Oryzias latipes: one gene and its partner. The protein of the gene in region 2 interacts with the protein of the main gene of each other region in a biochemical or structural test. Links are inferred from orthologs where the notes say so. Each region holds a gene or a part of one and is shown on either strand. Other genes may lie near its edges.

The links.
Region 1: the proteins of rapgef2 (region 2) and ras-related protein Rap-1A form a complex in vitro, tested with the Homo sapiens proteins (2 studies listed by BioGRID and IntAct, with this or other methods). The link is inferred for Oryzias latipes from reciprocal best matches to the Homo sapiens genes RAPGEF2 and RAP1A.

The regions. Positions count from the first base shown.
Region 1 is NC_019863.2:11,459,421-11,462,992, reverse strand, and holds part of ras-related protein Rap-1A, read right to left. Parts: intron 1,114-3,572; coding exon 970-1,113; intron 614-969; coding exon 524-613; 3' UTR 487-523; intron 1-486. UniProt on the Homo sapiens protein: Counteracts the mitogenic function of Ras, at least partly because it can interact with Ras GAPs and RAF in a competitive manner. Together with ITGB1BP1, regulates KRIT1 localization to microtubules and membranes.
Region 2 is NC_019868.2:1,036,270-1,039,841, forward strand, and holds part of rapgef2 (rap guanine nucleotide exchange factor 2), read right to left. Parts: coding exon 3,448-3,572; intron 3,262-3,447; coding exon 3,104-3,261; intron 2,971-3,103; coding exon 2,956-2,970; intron 2,726-2,955; coding exon 2,485-2,725; intron 2,348-2,484; coding exon 1,964-2,347; intron 1,875-1,963; coding exon 1,663-1,874; intron 1,280-1,662; coding exon 1,156-1,279; intron 830-1,155; coding exon 806-829; intron 24-805; coding exon 1-23. UniProt on the Homo sapiens protein: Functions as a guanine nucleotide exchange factor (GEF), which activates Rap and Ras family of small GTPases by exchanging bound GDP for free GTP in a cAMP-dependent manner.

The sequences.
Region 1 (3,572 bases), on a different chromosome or scaffold from region 2:
CCTTTAGCATGTCTACGAACTGTTTTAGGGAAGTAATGAAATGAAAAAAAGTCTAGTTAGAGAGTATTTATAGCTCCTCTGACTTCTGAGAAACTGCAAGGATGGACCAAGATTTCCTCAGATATTTGAAGCTGCTGGAACTTGATGAGGTTCAAACATTATAATTGCAGAAAACACATGAGTGTTTAAAATTAAAAAGGCTAAAAAAAAAAGGCTTTCTTGGCCTCTGTGCACATTTTAAGAATGTGTTAAACATGTCATAAAAAAAGAAAATGTACTGGCAGACTAGATATAGAAGTGCAACCGTCTATTAAATTCACGCGTTCCTGAATGTGTGGATCTGTAGATCGGATAAATCAGGTTCAGATAAGATCATCGACTAAGTTACGCTGCCTTAAAAACTCTGCTGTTCCCTTTTAATCTCTACAGGGGGGGCTCTTTTGAGTGTTGTTGATAAACCGTTACACAATCTAAGCCCGCACTCACCTGGCTCAGATCTGCTGCTGGGGTTGGAGGGGGGTGTTTAAAGCAGGACACAGTTGGATTTCTTTTTTGCCTTCTTTTTTTCCACGGGCGTTTTCCTATTTATCTGCCTTACCAGGTCATAGAAGATCTAGAGCGTCAAACAAACAAGGACATGTTCAAGCATTCCAATTCATCTAGAAAGCATGGTGGAAAAATTACACTGAAGAAAAACTCTAGGCTGGGGGAAAATTCTAACAATCCCTACATTTCCTTTGACTTGTAAAAATGTAGACAAAAGCATTACTACAGTAATAACAGGGATATAAAAACAAAATATTTGGGGCTATAGAGGGAGGAAAAGCAAGGGAATCTGTAATTTAGTCCATCCATGATTTAAGGACTTTAATTAAAAAATAAAAAAAAGGTGATTGCAACAACTCCTGAAGCATTTGCCTGCTTTTCAATGATTTGGACCTCCAGGTTCGTGCTTTTAAGTGGACTCACATCAAGGACGTTGATCTTTGACTTAGCAGATGACTCTAAAAAGGCACAGTTGTTCCACTGTCTGGCCAGGTTCTGGCCCTGCTCCTTCCCCACCACACGCTCATCTTCTAAGTCACACTTGTTCCCTACCAGGATCATCGGCACCTGCAACAACAAAAAAAACAGTAGAAAACAGGCAAGACTGCATGTTAATCTTTTTTTTTTTACTTTGTTAGCCTAAAAACTATCGGTGCACTGAACTGTTTCAGCAAACAGAGAGTGTTTCAAGCACATTACATCATCTTCACTGAAGGTTGTTTGGATTGCATTAATCTAACATAGGTAAACCCAAGTCTTTCATCGGATTGTTATGACATTATGGGTTTTTCATAGTTACTCTGTTCTGCATGTGTTAGTCCAGGCTCTCATCCAACATATGCTAAGCATGAAAACAGCCCAAACATCCATCTGTGACTGCAGTTCAAGGCAAAAGACCACATGTTATGGGACGACTTAAATCCTGAAAGTAGTTTACCATTTAATGATAAAACTTTACTAGTCGATAACTGACTAAACACCCACAACAACGTCATCCATGTTAATCTTCATTTAACCCTGACTAGTGCAGAAAAAAGCCCCGCTCCAACCTGGATGGGAGCAGACTTTGCTAAAGCTTCTTTAGCACTTAGAGAAAATAGAACTGGCAGGTCTGTGTCACAAGGGAGACCCATTTTCCCAGAGGGTCAAAGGTTTCCCTTTTTCAGCTGTCTTACACTTTAAAGTCTTAAAAAATATTCTAATGAAGAAAAAAGAAAAAACAGAATGAATAAAAACAATTATAATGTATTCCAGGTATGCATGAGGATCAATAAGGGATTCAAAAATGAAGAAAAAAAGAAAACCATATCTGCTTTAACCCCGAATCAACTCATCACAATACAAATTTCCACAATCATTTTAATATTATGGAACAAAAACAGGGAGTGGCATACCCAGCTGTGCAAAGGACAGAACACAAACTTTTCCTATTTTGTTTAGGCATTCTTAAATGTCAGACAGAAAGCTGAATACATGAAGTGATGAAGAGGCCTCCATAAGATTTGAAGGTGAAACTGCTGCACAGAATCTTTCAAGTCTTGTCTTTTTATCAAAGCTAACAAGTCACTGTTCAAACTTTTCACCTTAGAATGAGATTCTGTCGACGTGACATTCAATCACATACATTCCACACAAATGGAAAACCTTTTTTTTTTTTTTTACAGCTTTCAGCCATCCAAAAGACATACGTAGCTACATGCAACTGGAAACTGAACAAGTTTAGACTGATCTGCCACATGCTTCCTCCAGGACAGCAAAGGGGCTTTCTATCCATCCTATCAACTCCAATGGTGTGACAAAAGGCAGACAGTTAGAGAAGGCTTATAAAATGTAAAATTACCAGCTGACTAATCAAAAATGACCAGAAACTGCTGAGAAAACTTTGGTTTGTCTTTAATAGAGACGTTTCTAAAGAAAGCTGACAGAGTGCTGATCTGTGGTTACTGGATCTCTTTAAACAGACAGCACTTCTCCTTTTGTTTATTAACACGTTTACAGTAAGAAGCAGGACAAATAAAAAGGTGGAGCAGGACGGAAACCTTTAGTCCAGTTTAGGGCTTCCCTATTACAATCTGCAAACACAGAGCAGTGAGGGTTGTCGGGATGCGTCTCATCCTGTCTGCCGTTTCCTGACTAACTATCTTGGGAGAATGCTGGCTCGTAGGAAGTCATGGCGGCCCCGCCCAGCCGGGATAACATTGCTTTCCTTCCTGAATGTTCTCCAACATTTCAGCTGTATTCCATGCTTCAGCTGCTCAGTGGAATTAGATGATGGTGTGTGATTGTGCAGTGTGTGACATTTTTGTGTGTTTAACAGTTTAGTTTACTTGGGAAATGTGAGGAGGGGGGGTAAAAGAAGCGAGGCATCAATGTTTGTCACAGTTCACAAGACGTTTCCATTTTTGCCACTGGCCTCCAACAAACAAACAATTACCTAATGGAAACTTTTACAGCACAACAGCCATCAATAAAATATCAGCCAGGAGAAATCTATTTGTGGTTGGCCTCCAGTAGAAAAAAAACATGAATTTACGCTCAGAAAGTCGCATCTTTATTACCTTCTTCTCTTCCAGAAGTTATATCTAGGATTGTCTTGTTGATTAAAAAAACACTTGTTTTTTTGTTAAGCGATTACTGTCTTTGAGACAAAAAAAGCATAGAATACATTTCTAGAAAAGTTTTCTCTCTGCATTCCTGCATTTGAGAATCGTGACAGGAAACAGACGTGTATACAGTGAGCCTACAGAGGTGCCTGCTTGATGTTTGATATCCAAACAATCCTTCACTGAACTGCTGAGCAACACTTCTGTATGGGCTGCTAGCAAAGCAATGGAGTGCACTGCAAGCACGAGCACTCAGCCAAGCCGGGACAAGAAACAAGGATGGAAAGACAGGAATGCAGAGATGGGGGAAAAATAAGGTTTGTCAGCAGGACATAAGGAAGCATTACCGTAATTAAAGAATCCCCATTTTCATTAGATTGAATTAAAATGTCATTTACATTTAGGAGGAGGTCCCACAAAAAT
Region 2 (3,572 bases):
TGGCACTACCCTGACTGAGAGACCTGATGAGGGCACATGGACGGCAGAGGACAGACATGTACTTAATAAATGCACTGCAATAAACACTGGGGGGGGGGGGGGGGGGGACTGGGACATGCAAGTTTTTTCTACTCATTCCACACATTCCAGGCAGCAGAGGGAGGAGAGTTTATCCAATAGCAGAGGAGCAGGGGGGCGTGGTACTCTCAGTTTACATTTCTGTGGCCTGACTCAGTCATGAGAGTTTGAAGTTAAGTAACATGTGGTTTCAGTCTATCATCAGAGGACTGATGGGGGGACAGCTTCAGCTAGAAATACCCTTGTTTTCATGATTATGTCATTCAGACATATTATGTAAATCTCAGATGTAATCGACTCCATAATGAGTAAAATGGCTGTAAAACATGAATGTTCTACGTGAAAAAGGATCTGAAAGTTCAGAACAGAAATGTTTGGGTTCTTTCCAGGTAGCTGCACGGTGCTTCCCATTACAGGTTTGGTATGCAGCGTCTTCCACGTGACCACAAGAATGTAAAGCAGGAATAAAGAATGTTTTTCTGACAGGCCGACCAAAGCCGGAGGACAGGTGAAGGTCTGAAGGAGGCTGCATGCTCTGACGCATGTGTGCACGCTGCTGGTCTGCAAATGCCGCTTTGATTCGTCATGTTCAGGTTAGTGACAGGCAGGTTAGTGGGACAGTTCAACCCAAACTGGTACACAAAAGGGAGGCGTCAGGAGAGCCGGAGGGAGCACATGCTTAGGAGGACAGGCTGCTGTGCAGCAGTGCAAAGTGTCACCAACTTACCCTAAACTTCTCCATTTCTTCTTCCTAAAGGATGGGTGCCATGGACAAAGAAGCGTGGGAGGGAGGGGTCAAAGGGTGTATGAGCAGAAAGAAAAGAGAGTAGACACAGCTTAGGACAGAAAAGACCACCAAGATCACCAAAGAGAACCAATTTCACCAAAGAACCACGTGAAAATCAGCAGAAAGGGGATCGAACAGTGACACTACGGAGCGGACATCACTGGACAGAAGACGCTCCTGCAGGAGCTCCGAGCGCGTCTCCATGTCTGGAGCTCGGGAAGGAGCGGGGTGCAGAAACGGGACAGGACTGGCTGACCTCACTCGTTAAACGCATGGAACCAGGACCTCACCTGGTCCGAAACATAAGCGCCGGGTCCATGTTAACAGACGCCATCCGACCCACGTGGCGGATTTCTTTAGCAATCATCCTCAGCTTCTCAAAGTTCACCAGGCCGTCCACTTTAGAGTCGTTGCCTGTTGGATTGAGAGGTAAACGTGAATCTTATCAGCTCCAAACATCAAACTGCAGCTCAGACAACAGCTCAGACAACAGCATGAAAGTCCACTCTGGGGGGCTGAGAGAAAAGGCAGCTCCACTCAGCTGGACCCTGATTTCCCTCAGCCAAAATGTGACTTTTACTTTAAAGATTGGGAAAGATAGTAGTTTGTTTGTGAAGACATGAAAGAAGCACCCTGAAGATAGAAAAGAGAAGCTGCTCTTCTGCAAACGTCTCCTCTTCAGAATGCTGGCAGACATGCTGATGCTCATGCTTCCATCAGTGGAACTAGACACAGACAGCACGGCTGTGAACGCCGCTCTGTCAGCCTGCGTCGAGCTCAGTTTTTGTGTTTTCTACCTTCATGCAGGAAGGTCAGGTCCTTCTTGATGACTGGGAACAGAGGGATGATTGGTGGCTGGAGGTTCTGGTTGTTCAGAACGTTGCGGTACTTGGCCATATTCCTAGACGGGTCAAAAAGGTCCTGCAGGTCCCCAAACAGCTTCTCATACTTGCTGGGTAGTTTCTCCCATGTTCCCCTCAGTCTGGAGACTGGAGCTAAGTTCAAGCCACTGTGGGGAGAGGACAGACAGCAGTCCTTCTCACGTTCAGGAACGTTGGCAGAGAACAGAAGACAAAGGCGTGAGGCCGCCAGACTCACCTGATGATGGCAAACATGGAGCTGAAGTTCTTACACTCTCGACAGTGTAGGGCAATCTTGATGAAATGCTTGATGATCTTCATCCGCTTGAGCTGGTTAGGCTCCCGCGTCACCTCTGAGGCCACCCAGAAGGTCTCGTGGTTGATGGCCTCCTCGAAGCGCTTCAGGCTGGCAGAACCCGTCTTTGAGCGCCGCTTGAACAGGTCATCGATGTACTCGGTGGGCTCGATGGCGCAGAACAACTCAAAAGCTCGCATGGAGAGCTGCGTGGCCACTTCCACAGTGCTGAGCTGCAGCAGGGAGATCTGGCCTTCTCGTAGGAGGTCCTGGGCATCCTCGTCCGAGCATAATGTCTCCGTCTCCATGTTGCTTTTCAGGTAGTATCTGATGGAGGGGGGGGTACAACAGAAGTTTGGGGTGTTTCAGAATCCATTTCATGTGGCTAAGGTTTGGCAGAGCTAGCAGGTTTTAAAAATCTGAAGTGATTGTGAGCAGTGATGTGCCGGCACGGATGGGATTACCTGCCGCTCAGCTGAATCCTGTCAGCCAGTTTTGAAAGTTGGTCAGGTAAGCGGCGCTGCTTAATGACCCCCTCCGGAGTGACAGACACCTCACACAGCGAGTACGCCTCCGGGGCTGCAGTCAGAGCGAACTCCCTGATGGCCTGGACCACCACCTCCTTAGCCGTGGTGTCCTTTCCGATCATGATGTACCGCGACTGCTGGTCTGCCTTGAAAACCCGCAGCACTTGGTCTGACATGTCTGCAGAGGGAAAGCAGGCCCGTCAGCACAGACGCTGAACTATGTTTGATCACTGTTCACATGAATGGTTGGATTAGAAAACACCCCACACCAGCGATTTGGGCTGAACTCGAAGCTTAAACTTTAATTAAAAACACCCCCAAGGCCTCCCAACATTGCCCCTGTGATCAAAAGCGCCACCCTGCAGGCTGCATGAGACAGCTGCGAGCACACAGCACCAAAGTACTCACTCAGAAGGACCGGTACTGAAACACAGAACACGAGGAAGACAGGTCAGTGTAGGGAAACCCTTTCTGTTTCTCCTCCACAGCATTCCTTCTCTATGCAGCTCTATCTGATCAACCACTCGCTTCCTTCCTTTCAGCAGGAGAAACCCACCAGGCTGGTTGTTGAAGTCCAGGATGCGGTGGTGCGACTGCAGGAGGTCTGGGTTTGAGGACGACAAGTTTCCACTGACCGGCAGCGCGGGTGGGATCTGCTTGGACTGCTTCATCCCCAGTATGCTGTCATCCTGTGATTGGCCCACGCAAACGTCGCTATGGAAACAGGAAGAACAGGCACCAAGGAGAAGTTCTGTTAACAGGAGGCAGAGGGTGATGTCTGCATTTGACAGAACAGAAGACATTCAGCGGCTGAACTGAAGTAAATGAATAGTATCAACTGTGGGGGTGACCTGTATCAGCTGGGTGCTTAGGGTGCTTTAGAATCACAAAGGGCTTTACTTGTATGGTTTGGGAGGCAGGATGCTGGTGAGCGTCTTGTCAAAGATCTTCTTTAACTTGTTGCGTCCTCCGACCGTGTTGGCTTTGGCCTTCTTGCTGGCTTTCTCCAGACCCATCACCTGCTC